Linked DNA regions of Ovis aries. The protein of the gene in region 1 interacts with the protein of each later gene in a pairwise test. Links are inferred from orthologs where the notes say so. Each region holds a gene or a part of one and is shown on either strand. Other genes may lie near its edges.

What was found. The genes of interacting proteins can lie anywhere in the genome.
Region 2: the proteins of EHHADH (region 1) and CAT interact in a two-hybrid assay, tested with the Homo sapiens proteins (2 studies listed by BioGRID, with this or other methods). The link is inferred for Ovis aries from reciprocal best matches to the Homo sapiens genes EHHADH and CAT.
Region 3: the proteins of EHHADH (region 1) and NECAB2 interact in binary tests that used the Homo sapiens proteins (3 or more experiments, as listed by UniProt). The two-hybrid records come from large-scale screens. The link is inferred for Ovis aries from reciprocal best matches to the Homo sapiens genes EHHADH and NECAB2.

What each region holds. Positions count from the first base shown.
Region 1 is NC_056054.1:202,719,626-202,723,957, reverse strand, and holds the end of EHHADH (peroxisomal bifunctional enzyme), read right to left. Parts: intron 3,932-4,332; coding exon 2,670-3,931; 3' UTR 965-2,669; downstream 1-964. UniProt on the Homo sapiens protein: Peroxisomal trifunctional enzyme possessing 2-enoyl-CoA hydratase, 3-hydroxyacyl-CoA dehydrogenase, and delta 3, delta 2-enoyl-CoA isomerase activities. Catalyzes two of the four reactions of the long chain fatty acids peroxisomal beta-oxidation pathway.
Region 2 is NC_056068.1:63,785,894-63,791,731, forward strand, and holds the start of CAT (catalase), read left to right. Parts: upstream 1-1,999; 5' UTR 2,000-2,043; coding exon 2,044-2,109; exon of another isoform or gene 2,110-5,838. UniProt on the Homo sapiens protein: Catalyzes the degradation of hydrogen peroxide (H(2)O(2)) generated by peroxisomal oxidases to water and oxygen, thereby protecting cells from the toxic effects of hydrogen peroxide.
Region 3 is NC_056067.1:9,830,046-9,835,636, reverse strand, and holds the start of NECAB2 (N-terminal EF-hand calcium-binding protein 2), read right to left. Parts: upstream 3,840-5,591; 5' UTR 2,895-3,839; coding exon 2,602-2,894; intron 2,522-2,601; exon of another isoform or gene 2,516-2,521; coding exon 2,404-2,515; exon of another isoform or gene 1,619-2,403; coding exon of another isoform or gene 1,545-1,618; intron 1,236-1,544; coding exon 1,211-1,235; intron 1-1,210. UniProt on the Homo sapiens protein: May act as a signaling scaffold protein that senses intracellular calcium.

The sequences.
Region 1 (4,332 bases):
TTTTAAAATGTCATTCAGAAGGTGATTTTTTTGAAAGATAGTTTACAAATTTTTTAATAACAACAAAATAAGCCTTTAAGCAAGTGCATTTTCAATAATTGGATAGTATATCCTGGAAAGGTTTCTTCATATTAACCACTGCTGTGTGTAGAACCCAATAGTTTGAATCAATTTTGCCTCCTTTGATACAAAATAAGGATAAATAAACTCATATTTCTTCTTCCCATGATACATATAAAATGTTGGCCCTTAACATTTATTGAGTCACAGACACTTCAGAGAATATGATATAAGATAAGATATGGTACCTTTTCTAAGAAATACAGTCGGATACATACACACAAATATTAGCATAAAGTTTCAGGGATTATGGACTCATAAAAATCTATTTATAGACACTCTAGTGTCAAAACCCTGATCTAGAGGAGAATGTAGGAGGAAAAGAAGTTTTAAGAACTCAAAAAAAAAAAAGAAAAAAGAGCTCAAAATTGAAATCTATGCAAGGTCTAAAGAAGAAAAAGTTATGTGTTTATTAATTTGAAACTAAGTTACTTTGCAGAGTTACTATTTTCAGGAATTTTTTCTATTTTTCTCTTTAATCATATAAACAACAATATATATCTCAAAAATTATTCTAAATTGAACTACAATTCAAAGCACATTAAAAGTTTTTTTTATTTGTTTTTGGTTTACTTTTTACAATGAAAACTTGTACTATATTCATTCAAGATTTCTCTGTTAGAACTTTTGGTAATTTTGCTTGGGTTCCTTGGCAAAAACATTGTAAAAACCAATTCATTCACATCACCCTGAAGGACAATAACCTAAGCCTATTTGTTTCCTTATATGACAAAGGATTGCTGGATTAATGCCCCTCCAGATTCTTGATCTGCCAAGTGCTGTGCAAGATGTTCACGGGTGCACAGAGTATCTGTTGAATGAAGGGTCCACAAGACTTCCTAAGTAAGTAAACAAGTTGCTTACTTGTTTATTAACTTGATTAAGATATAATTCACATACCATACAGTTCATACATTTAGGGTATACAACTCAATGGTTTTAAGTAGATTTACAGAGTTATACAACCATCGAAACAACAATTTCAGAACATTTTCATTAACCCAGAAAGAAACTCTGTACCCATCAGCAGCCACACCCTGCTCCCTACCCTCAATCATTCAGCCTTTGGCAAACTGTAATCTGCTTTCTATCTCAATAGATTTGCCTATGTTTTCACTTAGCATAATATTTTCAAGATTCATCATGTTGTAGTATTAGCACTTCTCTTCTTTTTATGACTAAATAATATCCTACTGTATGGCCAGTTTACGTTTTATTTAGGCATTCATCAGTTGATGGACACTTGGATTGTTTCCAATTTGGGGCTGTTACGAATAGTTCTGCTCTAAACATTTGTGTACAAGTTATTGGGTTGACTAGCCCCTCAGCTTTTAACCAAACAAGGCAAAAAGTAAAAAGAGAAGAATTCTTATAACAAAATTACACAAAATTTGTTTTTCAATAATTTTAGACTTGTCAGGATTCAACCATTTCATACTCAACATCACAAAGGCTTCCTATGACCGGGAAACTGGTATTATTAGTTTATCACAGAATTAGAGGAGGTTAGACCCCTGAGATTCCCACCTTACACTAAGTTAACAAGTTAACAATTGTAATTTGTTGTTGTTGTTCATCACTCAGTTATGTCCTGTTCTGCAACCTCAAGGACTGCAGCACTCCAAGCTTCCCTGTCCTTCACAATCTCCCAGAGTTCACTTTCCATTACTGCTGCTTGAATAGAAGGGTAAATAAAGACATCTAGTGGTCTTGAGGAAATTGTCATCAGACATTACTGAGCCTCTTACAAGCAGCAAGGACAACTGTACACACGGGCCTTGGACAGAAATGATAATATTGAGTGTGACTTTTTAAGCTCCTTTGACTCCCCATTCTGGTCTGAAGTATGTGGTTTCCTCACTAACTCCCAACTGTGTTTTGCTTAAGTTTCAACACCCTTCTGCCATTGAAACTTTGCCCCTGGCCTCCCCCTGGGCAGCTTTCCAAGTTCACACGTACAGACCCCTACTGCGGACCCTACCCTGCCAACTGTCTCCACTCTACCTCTGAGACTCTGAACTGAAGCCTTTATCACAGGCTTCCTTGCTGGATAAATGCCCCTCCAGGTTTTAGGTCTGTTAAGTGTTGTGTAAGATGCTTAGTGGTGAACAATGAGGATCTATTGATGGAGGGTCCATAATATTTCCTATCACTGCCACGTGTGTGAGGATGAAAGACTCAACATGAATTTATGCATTTATCAATTAATAATTGATGACATATTTCTCAAATGATCAAGGAACTGGGAACCTCAACTTATTCCTGAGCCTCTCTCCTTAGTTATTACAATGTTAACACAAGTTGATTCAGTGCAATTGAAATCATTTATCTGATACAGACAGATCGCTGGCATAAGAAGCACATTCCTGAAGATTTGACCCATTAGAATCATCAGACAGAAGATCCAAAGAGGGGTTTTAGCCAACTGATTATTCCTTTCATTTTGTATTTCAGAGCAATCTTACTTTGGATCTCTTTGGATTAGTTTCTATGAAATTCAGTGAGCGTTGCCTGATGCCAGCAGGTAAGGCAAAACCTGAAAGGCTGAATCACAGTTTACTTCTGGGGGGTCCTGCCAAGCTTTGCCACTGTTCCAGAGGAAGGTTTCCCTGGGAAGCCAGTTTTTTAAGATAGTCGCAAGGCTCCAGTTGGGGAATATCAGGATTCTGCCTGTGGTATTTCTGCAACTTCTCTAGTACCATGGGCAACCCAACTGTGGAAGCGTAGAACATGGGCCCACCCTTGTGCCTTGGCCATCCATACCCGTGTAAATAGATAACATCAATGTGCTCTGGGGTAGCTGCCATCCCTTCTTCCAAGATGCGAAATGCCTCATTGATGAGTGAATATAGGCAGCGCTCAAGGATCTCATCCCGGCTAATGATACGTGGTTTGATGTGATATGTTTCCCTGTACTGTGCCAGAAATTGGGAAAGCCAGGGATCAGGTTTGTGAATCCTTCCCAGAGGCTTATCATAAAGGTACCAACCCTTACCTGTCTTCTGACCAAACCGTCCTGACTCACACAGCATATCAGGAATTGGGCAATATCTCCGGCCACCTCGCTTCCGGGCAGAACTTCCTGGAGGCAATGTAGGTCCAGTAAGACCTTGCCCTTTGCGGGATTTCCAACCTATATCCAACCCAGCAAGATCAGACACTCTAAAAGGTCCCATTTTAAAACCAAACTCTTCCAGCACCTCATCTATCTCCTCTGGTTTACTGCCTTCTTCTAATAAGAAGTATGTCTGATCATAATAAGACCTCAGCATTCGATTCCCAACAAATCCAAAACAATTGCCTACAACTACTCCAATCTTCTTAATCTTTTTTGATAAATTCATAACCGTGGCAACGGTGGTGGGGGAAGAGAATCGGCTGGGAATAACCTCTAACAACTTCATGACATGAGCTGGTGAGAAGAAGTGGGTGCCAATGACCAAGTGAGGACGGTTACTGGAAGAAGCAATCTCATCAATGTCCAGGGCTGAAGTGTTGGTGCATAAAAATGCTTCTGGCTTGCATATAGCTGATAGTTCAGCAAAGACACGCTTCTTCAGGTTCATTTCCTCATATACTGCTTCAATGACTAAATCTACACCACTGAGCTCTTTCATAGATGTAGTTAACCTGGGTTTTGGTCCTGACCAAGGGTGGCCACTCTGCTGCATTTTGGATGCTTCCTTTTCCAAGATGGAGGTTATTATCTTGCTTGCAGTCTCTAGCTGCTTCTTGTCTGATTCTACGGCAATCACAGGGATCTGGGCCTTTGCAAAAGAAATGACAATGCCTCGGCCCATTGTTCCTAAGCCTGTAGATAAGAGTGAAAGAGAAGAAGAAAGAGTCAATGGTATTGGAAAATGGGAAATTATTCAGTGAATGGAAGGTTTCTGTGGAAACGTGGCATTCAAAGACAGCAACTCAAGGACTACAGGTAGATTGAATACTAGTTAATGTTAGGAACTGTATTAGGTGCTCCAGGGGGTATAACAATAAAAAGGATCCACACACACACACTATTCGAAATAGTAAACAAGTTCAGCAAGACTGTAGGGTGCAAGATCAATATATAAAAATCAATTGTATTTCTATAATAAACAATATGAAATTGAGAAAACAATTCCACTTTTAATAGCATTAAAAAGAACAAAATACTTCGGAATAAATTTGAGGAAGAACTTTAAGACTTGTGCATGAGAAACCAAAGAACAT
Region 2 (5,838 bases), on another chromosome or scaffold:
ATAACGTGACTTGGCAAAAAATTTTTGGTAGCCCTCCCTAGCTCCTTCTACTTAATTTAAGCTTGAAAGACTTATTCTCATGCAAATAATATTATAGACAGTGGTTAGATTACCAGTTCTAACCACAAAAATCCTTTTTTTATACAAATGTGACTGAACTAGACTCCCAAGAGTATGTGAACATTTCCAAGGCCAAGTTCAGTTCAGTTCAGTTCAGTTCAGTTGCTCAGTCGTGTCCGACTCTGTGACCCCATGAATCGCAGCATGCCAGGCCTCCCTGTCCATCACTATCTCCCGGAGTTCAAGCTCAAGTATAAAAAGTGATATGAACCCACAGTAAAAGAAAAGAATGGCAGCCTATTTGGAATAAGGCAACTCCTGACCAGAAGAGGATGGAAACGACTAGGGGAAGGGAAGTGTGATGCCCTATGAGTGGGAGGTTCACACAGTGGAAGAAAAGAGCAATAACGTGGCCTCAGGATGAGAAGTAGTAGGAGTACAGATCTCTATTGAGGTCTGGGAGGACCATTTTCCCCCAGCTTTATTATGCCAAGTCTCAGACTTTGTAAACAATCTCTCTAGCTGGGTATAACCAAGTCTCTTTTCACACTTTACCTAATTTAAACGTCTTGACAAGAGTAAGACACCAATTGAAGATATTTTCATAGAATAAGCCATTTTTGCACTGTTGAACTCGAGCAATTTTCTTCTGGAATATCACAAAATACATTGTTATTTCACTTATTAAAATGCATTGCTCAAACACCTCAAAAATTAGTCACATTGACTTAGGGAAGACATTTCCTAAACTCTAAGGCAGCATTTCTGTTAATAAATAGTGGGTTTGGACATCTTATTTAACTTAGTTAATTATTCTACATCAGGAGCAAGCCAACCTCTTCATGCTTGTTTATAGTCTGTCATGGTGGGGAGACTTCACTGACCTTTATATTTTTTTTTGTTGTGAAGATTAAGTGGTAGAGTTTGGCAACCATCAGCAGTGTCCAGCACATAGCAGACACTCAAAAAGGGGAACTTCTAAACCAAAAAGGGAATCTAAAGGACTGAGTTTTTGTCCTACGTATTTTAGACTATTAAGATTTAGATCTTGCAAATATTTCACTTTTCTGTGCTTTTTACTTTTATTTTTAAAAGCTTTTTATTTTATACAGGAGTATAGCCAACCAACATTGTTGTGATAGTTTAAGGTGGACAGCAAAGAGATTCAGCCATACATACACACCTATCCATTTTCCCCCAGATTACAGGCCCATCTAGGCTGCCACATAACACTGAGCAGAGTTCCCTGGGCTATACAGCAGATCCTTGTTGGCTAACCATTTTTAAATGTATACATATCATTGTATAGCAGTGTATACATGTCATCTCTAATCTTTGACAAAGAAAAATTATGCGACATTTGCGAGTGTGATCACTGGTCATACTTAAATATAGAACCAGTATTTGCATTTATTCCAAATTCCACCAATCCTTTCAGTTGTAAACAAAATTATTAACATTGGAGCATGACAAACCTTCATTTTGCACAGAGGAACTCAACGGTGGATTTCTTTTTCTCTGCTTTTTAAGAGCTGAGAGCATGTTACCAGAGTTCAAAGCCCCACCCAGCAGGGCCTAAGCATTCCCTCAAAAAAACTGGCAGACCACCAACCGCTACCTCCCAGGGCACCCTGAAGGATACTGATAAGCCGAGGAGACAGTCACATCCGGGTACGCGGGGGCCAAACCCAAATTAGTTAATCTGGAGTTTGGGGGTCGGAGGTGAGGAGGCGCCGTTCCTTTTCCTATCTCTCCCCAGCCTCTCCTCTCCCCGAGTCCTTGCTCCTCAGCCCTGCCCCTACTTGGCTTCCAATCCCATTCCGCCTGGAGCTCAAGTGGCCAATCAGGTGGCGGCCCTGCCGAGGGGGCGGGATGGGGGGGCGGAGCTGAGTGGCGGAGTCTGAAGTCGCCTATTTCAGCTGCGGCGCTGGAGACGCGTGAGCCGAGCCCACCTGCAAAGTTCTGCAGCGCCGCTCAGACACCATGGCGGACAACCGGGATCCAGCCAGCGACCAGATGAAACATTGGAAGGAGCAGAGGGCCGCGCAGGTACACCCTGCGCTCTCCGAGCCGGCCCTACGGTCCGCGTAGGAAGCTGGGTGTCCTCAAGTAACGGCCCCTGCTGCCCCAGCGCGGAGGTTCTGGGGAGGGAGGGCTGTACCATCGATCGCGGGGGGCCTAGGGGTGTGCGTGTGCTTCCTTTCCGTCTGGTTGGGCTGTTACATTCGCGGGCGGGAGGGGAGAGGGTTCTGGGCCCCGGGGGCAGCGGTCCTGCAGGATTTGTGGTAGGCTGCAGGTCGTGGGTGGTTGGCTTACAGTTTTGCGCCTTTGCCAGCTGGGACAGAGGTTGCAGTTTGAGGCAGCAGTGAAGGCTTATGGGGAAAGAGGCAGAGAGCTGCAGCTGCAAGAAAGGAAGTGACGGGGAAGCAGGAGCAGGCTCTAGCTTTGCCCTCGCTCAAACAATAACTACCAGCTTTCGTATTTGGGGTGGGGGGTGTCTTGGGGGCAGGAAACGTCTTTTATCATCTCCATGTCCCCAGCACTGAACATAAAGCATTGTTTGTGTGTTAGTTGCTCAGTCGTGTCCGACTCTCTGTAACCCCATGAACTGTAGCCCACAGACAGACTGCTCTGTCCATGGAATTATCCAGGCAAGAATGCTGGAGTGGGTTGCCATTCCCTTCTCCAGGGGATCTTCCCGACCCAGGGATGGAACCCAGGTCTCCCGTGTTGCAGGCAGATTCTTTACCATCTGGGCCACCAGGGAAGCGCACATACAGCATTAAACAGCTAAATAAAAGAATTTTTATACCCATGATTTCTTTTGCACTTAAAAACATCGTCTAGCATTTTAGAGCTAAAAGTGACCTTAGTGATTAATTAATGCATTTATTTACACCTATGCTTTGAGTGCCAGCGTGTGCTAGGCACAGCGCTGGGGCAAGTGGAGCAAATTCCAGTGAGGCCGAAAGCTCAAAGTCAAGTTTGGGAGACAAGACAGGTGAATAGATGGTTACCTTCCACCGTGGCCAGGGCGCTGATATAGGTTATCTGCTGAGTGTAAAGGGAGTGACTGACCTGGTTGGCAGGCTTCTCAAAGCAGGTGACATCTGAACAAGAGCTTTACAGCTGAGTAGGAATTCAGCCCTGTAGTGGTTGGCCAGTCATTCCTGGCCTGTACCCCTAGGATGCAGAGCATTAAAGGGCATCTGTGAGCAGGTTGAGTGGGATGGGAGCACTTCTGTTTTGAGTCTTCTTTTGTCAAATTGGCCTAGAGAGTCTTCGGGACTTGCCCGGTTCCCATGGCGGCTGGTTAATGGCAGAGAGGACTAGAGTCATGCTTTCCTCATCTTCGCTCTTTCTTCTTTTTAAAATTCATTTTTAATTGGAGGTTAATTGCTTTACGATATTGTGTTGGTTTCTACCATACATCACCATGAATCAGCCATAGGCAAGCATATGTCCCTTCCCTCCTGAACCTCCCTCCCACCTCATGCCACCCGTCTAGGTAGTGACAGGGTACCCATTTAGTGCTCTTCCTTAAGACCGGGTTAGTGTTCATGAATTAGGATTAATGCTGAGTGCTCATGGGTTACCTTGTAGTTCCCTGTTTGTGAGAAGGCTACCATTCTCTTTAGAGGGCCTGGAAAATCTCTTTTCTCATTTTGTTCCTTATTATGTGCTACTAGGGTTTTGGCTTTTCATGAGTTCTTAGGCAAAGTGAACCAGAGAGACTTAGCATCTTATCAGTCAAGGACAAGTGGCTAGTCAGTGGCAGAGTGAAGATTAGACTCTGCTTCCTAGAGCCAGGACTCTCTGTATGCCCAGTGGTTGCTGCATCTTGGTTCACACGGAGGCTTTCATGAATCCTCGGTGAATTGGAAAAAATATGGGCAAGTGAGTTTCGCATAAAACAAAATTCATTTTTTTGGAAGGGCTCCGTTGAGACTAGCTTGCCTTGTCACTGTTCGGGAGAATCATTAACTGTTGTTAAATCATTAAGATCTTGCTGGTGACTTGCCCTACATGGTCACCCATGTGAGAAACAGCTGGCCTGCAAAGTGTATCTATAATCTGGGGACCCCTAGTTGAAATACTTCCGTCTCCTCTGCCCATGCATCTCAGTGCGCTGTTTACATTGTCCTGATTGGCAGGCACATTGGTGTCTTGTTTCTCCTGACTTGAGCTGCTCTGAGTGAAAGCTGCGTATTTTTATAGGAGACTGCCCACTTCCCAAAGGAATTTTGCATCTGTCCATACCCTTTGTAATTTCCTAATGCTTTCTTTGGAAAATTTTTAAACATTCAGAAAAGTGAGAAAAATTGTGTAGTATATGCCTATATACCCACCACATTTTTAAAAATTTCTTTTAACATGTTATTCCATATCTGTCTGTCCCTTCATTCATCCCTTAACCTGTGTTTTGGAGGGGCACTTCAGGGTATGTTGTAGACATCAGTAGACTTGATGCAAATTACCAGAATTCATTGTTTAATTCATGTTTTTAAGGCAAAATTTATATACAAAAATATACAAATATGAAGTGTACCAATCTGTGCTTTTTGATAAATATAAACACCTGTGAATCTGGTTCTTTTATCAAGATGTAGACGATTCTCATCACCCTGGAATGTTTCCTCATGCCATTTCCCATCTTTCCCTGCTTCTCCTGCAGTTCTGCTCCAGGCAACCACTGATGATTTTGCTTTTTAACCATTGATTTAGGAACTTTTTTGTAACACTGCTTTCATTCAGCAAATATGTTTTAAGATTTTTTAAAAATGTTTTAGGATTCGTTCCTGTCATTGCATGTGTTGCTGAGTACTAGTACTGCTGCTGATTAGAGCACCATTGTCTGATTAGAGCACCGTGTCCTTATCCTGTTGTTGGGCACCTGGACTATTCCCAGTGTGTGGCTGTTATGAATTAAGTTTCTATAAACAGTCTTATATAAGTCTTTTTGTGCACATATACTTTTATTTCTCTTAAAAAATGCCTGTGAATAGAATTGCCGAGTAAGTGATAAGGCAAGTGAATGTCTTATGAGAAATTCCTAAGCCTTCTTCTGATGTGGTTTACCATTTTACACTTCTGTCAACAGTGTTTGAGAGTTACATTGGTCCACATCCTGCCATCCTTTGGGATTGTCATTCTTTTAAGTTTAGCCTTTCTGGTGAATAAGAAGTGATATTTGCCTTGCTCTGATGACCAGTGATGCATCTTTTCATGTGCCTATTTGACCTCTGGTATACAATATTTCTTCCCTGGTGGCTCAGATGCTAAAGAATCTGCCCGCAATGCAGGAGACCTGGGTTCGATCCCTGGGTCAGGAAGATCCCCTGGAAGCAGAAAGGGCAACCCACTCCAGTATTGTTGCCTGGAGAATTCATGGACAGAGGAGTCTAGTGGGCTACAGTTTATGGGATCAGAAAGAGTCAGACATGACTGACTAATACACACATACGTATTTCTTTACTGGATTTGTTCAAGTTTTTTGTCCTTTAAAACATTGGATTGTTTGTTTTACTATCCTTGATTCATAGCCCATGTTTTAACAACAGTCACGCATGGGCTACATGCTGTAATAATACATCCCAAAGTGTATAACGGCATAAACCTGTAAGAAGTTTATTTCTCTCTTACGTGATTAGCCAGAATGGTTTGAGGTTGCAGAAGGAGGTAGCGAGTCCTCGGCAGCCCACAGTTCCCCAAGGCTGCAGGCTGAAGGAGGCTTCTCCTGTGGCAACATGTGGTTTCTTAATGTTGCCCTCCACAGCA
Region 3 (5,591 bases), on another chromosome or scaffold:
CCGAGAGGCCTGCACGGGGATCAGACCCCAGGACCCACTTCTCTAGTCTCTAAGGCCACTCAGGCTGCACCGTCACGACTTCTCAGCTGCCGGTGAAGTCCCCCCACCGTGTCCCTGCCCTTCCTCGATGCTCCGTATGGAACTGCTCCTGATGCTGCTGCTGCCTTCCAGAGGCCCGGAGGGGGCCCCGCCACACCTGAGAATGGGGGAGGCGAGAGATGGAGAAGCCCCGGGCACTGGCGGCCAGGCCGTCTCATGTTCTCCCCTCAGTGCCAGGCGGGGACAGCCAGACAGTGACTCCTGGGGTCAGCAGGGAGGGGGCTGTGGGCCTGGGACCAGGTGCCAGGTCAGCTGTGCCCATTCCTCCCTCGGCAGGGGCCTGGATACTCAAATTAAATCAGTATTTTCTCAAGGAATTAACACTGAACTCTGCCTGCTTCTCTCTCACAAAGCTCACCAGCCATGTCTCCTCCCTTCATTTTCCCAACAGCCCTGGAATGTAGACAGGTTAAGTGTTATCACCCCACTTTAGAGATGGCAAAACTGAGGCCTGAAGCGGGACTATGTCCTGGTTCAAGACCACGGAGAGCTGCTTCAACCCATGAATGACGATTCCAGTATGTAGACAATCACTCCCGGCGGCCACCGTGAGGCTCAGGGGGCCCCTGCCTTCCAGAAAGGCCGGGGTGGAGCAGTCTCCAGCGGGTGTCCTGAATTCATGGACCGCAACACGATTCTCACTTTGTGTGGGAAGTCTCTTTGGGGGGACGGCAGTGGGGGGGGTGGAGGGAGAGCCAGGGGTCTGCAACAGAGGCTGGACTGCCTTCCTGCAGCTGGGTGACCCCAGGTAAGACACAGAACCTCTCTGGGCCACCATGGAGCTGACAGAACAGGGGCGACAGCATGGACGTCTGAGGAAAAAGTGTGCCGGGGCCCGAGGTGAGGCTGGGGGCTTCCTGGGCGGCCCCCAGGGCGGCTTTGGCCTGGCCCAGCTGTAGGTGGTGGAAGTGCACGAAGCGCTGACTGCACGCATAACTCACCGCACTGCCCACACCTGCCCGCTGAAGCCGCATGGCTCCCCTGCTCAGTAGGAACCACAGGGGTCCCTCGTAGGATGGAGAAACAGGCGCAGGGCAGCGTCCTGCACCCCCAACCAGAAAGAGCCAGGTCCTCACACGGGGACAGCCTCGCGGGGTGTGGGAAGACTCACCGTTTTTGTCCGCACGGCGGAAAATCTGCAGAGAAGAGAGGTCGAGTCAGTGTCGGCTGGGAGGGGCAGGCTTCCAACACCCCCAGCCCAGTGGACCTGCGGAAGCCGGGCCCCTTTTCCCTCCTGAGGGAGGAGACCCGGGGGTGGAAGGGTGTTTCAGGCAGTGGCCCTCCAGCTCCCCTCGAGGAGACAGCCTCCCCTCTTCCTCAGGCGCTGCTGGCCATGCGGTCGAGAGCACGCCGCACGGGTGTGTGTCCAGAACCTTTGGCCCACGTGCAGCACCCACAGGCGGCTGCGTGCTCCCCACTCCCGTCCGTGGGAGGCAGCCACTCACCTTACACCCCCACTAGGACCTCTCGAGGGCCTGGTGTTCTCCAGGGAGGGTGGGTTAAATCTGAACAGAGGCATCTGCCAAGCAAACCTCGAGGCCTGACGACAGGATCAGCCAGTGCACGGCGGGATTAGTTTTTTGGGGGTGGTCAGTGGGTAGGAGCAGCCCGCAAGCAGCTCAGAAAGAGAGGCGGGGAGGGAAGGGGCAGCCTGGTCCCCTCCAGCTGCAGCTGAAACCAGATAGCTCCTCCTGGTGTTTTTAGTCCTAGTAAGCCTTGCTGGGGGCTGCCCTGGTGGCTCAGATGGTAAAGAATCCACCTGCAATGTGCGAGACCTGGGTTCGATCCTTGGGTCAGGAAGATCCCCTGGAGAAGGGAAAGGCTACCCACTCCAGTATCTGGCCTGGAGAATTCCATGGACAAAGGAGTCTGGCAGGCTACAGTCCATGGGGTCGCAGAGTCGGACCCTTCTGAGTGACTTAGCACGCGTGCACGCAAGCCTTGCTGAAGGTAGGAAGAGGGGGAGACGCCGCCCCCAGCGTGTGACCCTCACACCTTGGAGAGCGGGAGCTGGGCCCCTCCCTCCAAGCAGTAGGGCAGGCATCCATTGTCAGGCACCCGGGCTGTGACAAACTGAAGCAGCAGCTCAGGAAAGATATTCTCAAACATTCCCCCTTTCTTGAGCTGAACCCCAAGTTGGGGCAGGGGACACAGGTCTGGAGCAGCTGGGGCAGAAAAGGGGGCAGCTGCCAGCACCCCAGCTTGTGCACCGCACACTGCCTGCTCCTGACTGCAAGGTTCCCGAGGAGGCTGGAGTCCCACCTTCAGGTGCCGGGGCCGGGGGTGAGCGTTAAAGTGACTGACCTGACAGGAGATGTGGCCCTGGCACTCGCTCATCACCCCCATTTCACAGATGAGGAGACTGGGGCTCAGAGCCAGCAGCGTGGCGTGAGGACTCCAGAGTCCACGTCCTGTCCTGTGCAAAAGGGGGGGGGCCTGGACAGAGCTGTCCGCTGCAAGGGCTTTCAGCTGCGAACTCACTGGGGCTTTGAGAGGGCTCACCTGTGCAGGTGCGAGTGGGCTGTGTGTGAGCACGTTCTGGGAAGCCTGGGAGCCATGGCCACGTGCGGCAGATCACCCCCTGCCCTGTCGGCTGAGAGCCAGCGATGGAGGCTCCAACAGGAACGTGGTGGGGGTGGAGGGGCGAGAGGAAACCCACACTGTCCCCCTCTCACCAGGATGTGATACACACACCTCTCCCTGAAACCCACCCACCATACATAAACATGGCACCCCCAGCCCCGTGTCACCCACCTCGGAGGACCCTCCCTAGGACAGGCACACCCCACTGCCATGCTGCCCCTTGGGGTGGGCAGAGCACCCCACGGGGGACGCCCCCCCACCCTGCAGAAGGCTCCCTCCTACAGAGGAGAGTGGGTGGGAGGGTGAGGTGGGGCGGTTTGGGCTCCAGAGGACGTGGGGGAGGGGTGCGGAGTGGGGGTGAGGAGGAGAGAGGGTGAAAAGGGGAGGGGGTGAGCAGGGGGAGGGGTGAGGAAAGGGAGAGGGAGGGGTGAGGAGAGGGAGAGGGAGGGGGGAGCGGGGGAAGGGGATCAAGGACTGGCTCAGAATGGAGTGGTGGTCCTCAGAGAGGATGGGGGATGGCTCCAGTCCTACTGAAAGGAGAGAGGAAGGCAGGTGGGGAGGGGGCTTTGCTTTTAAAAAGGTGGTGCCTGAGGCAAAAGGGTTGAGGATACAAGGGCTTAAGGTCCAAAGCTCGGACAAGAAAAATGGCCCTGGACCCAGGGATTGTGTGTGTGATGGGGTGGGTTGGGGGGAGAGTCTTAGAAAAGTAAGGACGGGGGGCAGGGGTCGGTGGGGCGGGCAGGAGCAGGGGCCGACGGCGGTCTGGGACTCGCGTCCCGGGAAGGAGCTGGGTGAAGGATGAAGCGCGGGCTGGAGAAAGATGAGGGTTTGGCCAGGACAGAAGTAGGGGGCGGTGGCCGGGTCGAGGGGCTCCAGGGTCCCGGCTCCGAGAATGTGGAGATCCCGAGAAGGGGAGGGAGGTAAAGGGGTCGTCCCGGTCCGGGGACGAGACGGGACCCGCACGGAGACCGGCCCGGGGGCCGAAGAGCTGGGGGCCGCGCTCTGCACAAGGAGGAGCCGGTGGATCCCGCTCTGGACCCCCGGGGTGCGGGCCAGCGTCCCTGCCCGGGGACCCCTGCCCCTCAAGCAGAAGGGGGTCTTGCAGGTCCCAGCGGGGTCCCGGGAGCGTGGCGTCCGCGTCGCCCGGTGGGGAGAACGGGTCCCGGCCCGCGCGTACTCACGTCCAGGATGACGGCGGTGCCCCCGCGCGGCGAGGCGGGGCCCGGGTAGGGGCCGGGGTCCGCGACGGGGGTGTTGGGGGCGTCGGGGGCCAGCGGCGCCCGGGGCTCGCCCATCCTGGCGCCCACCCAGCGCAGCAGCCCGCCCAGCGCCCGGCCCTGCGGCGGCGGCTCCCGGAGCAGCCTGTGCGCGCCGGCCCTGCACAGGCGCGCCGCCCGCTCGCACATCGCGCCGCGCCCGCCGCCGCCGCCGCCCGGAAGCCCGCCGACCCCCGCCCGGCCCGCGGCCCGCCCCCGCGCGACCCCCTCCCCGGCGCCGCCCGCCGCCGCCGCCCGCGCCCCGCCCTCCCTCCCTCTGCCCCCGCGGCCGCGGCCACGCGGGGACGGGCCGGCGCTGGGGGACGGGAGGGGGTGGGCGCCGCCCCGCCCGGACCCGGAGCCACGTGCCCCGTGGGCCACCGCCCCCGCCCCCGGCGGCCGGGCGCGGCGGCAGGGGGCTGCCGGCAGTGGGCCGCGGGGCTGGGGAGCTAGACCCCGGCCCGGCCACGGAGGGGGCTGCCTGGCAGGCGCGGGGTTTTGGGGGTCTGGCTTCGGGGGTGCATCCCTGGGGGCTGCCCCCATTCCGAAAGTCTCCCCCTGCCCGCCCTCCAGAAGAATCCCCCCTCCTCCACTCCGTGGCGCCGCCGCCGGGGCCGGAGCGCTGTGTCCGGCGAGCCGGTAGCGCCCTCTGCCGGCTGCAGCCCAAGGAACGCGCGCCCACGCACTGGGGCCTTCTCCACTCCGCAAGTACCCACTCGTCCCTTCCACCGGGTGCACGCCCCTCAGACCTCCCCCGCGAGTTAAACAACGCCCAGAACTAGTGTTCCCCACCCCTGGAACACCCTCTTCCCCTTATACTCCCTGCGTCCATCCTTCCAGACTCCCACCCACCGAACCAGAGAATTAAAGGAGCCCCTGCTGGGTGCTAGGCCTGGTGGCCGCACTGGGTTCCAAGAACATCGGGAAAACAGGAGGGCTTGCCTTGGCCTCCTGGAGCTTACAGCCAAGTGGGTGGAGCCAGATACTGGAAGTGAAAGTGAAAGTGAAGTCTCTCAGTCGTGTCCGACTCTTTGCGACCCGTGGACTGTAGCCCACCAAGCTCCTCCGTTCATGGGATTCTCCAGGCAAGAATACTGGAGTGGGTTGCCATTTCCTTCTCCAAACACTGGAATGATCCCACAAGTAAGGAAGAGTGAGAACTGAACTGCAATGAAGGGTGGCACCCTGACCCACCAGAGTGGGTTCTACCTGAGGGCCACGGAGGGGCATATGTCAGAAGAGGCTTCCTAGAGGAAATGGTCCTTATGCTCCAAGAGTGTAAGGAGGAGGAGGAGTTACAGAGAGGATGGGGAAGTTCCCTGGGCTAGAGCTTAGCCTGTGCAAAGGCCCTGTGGCAGGTGCAAGTGTGGGGATCACAAAGGAGCCACTGAAGGGAGAGGGACTGAGTGGGGCTGGGAAAGCCTCCCCGGCACCCGCTCCTCAGTCACATCTACCCTTCCACTTGGGGCACCACCCAGTGTCCCCCAGCCCCGGGACCTTCTCCCACATGACCCTGTGCTTCTGCCCCTGCCCTGACTGGGCAGCTCCGGGGGCAGGGTCCTGGGCACCTGGCGCCCTCCCCAAGCAGAGTCCTCGGACACAGGAGTGGAGGCAGGTGCTGGTTTTATTTGGGACCTGATTCTGGAAAGAGCG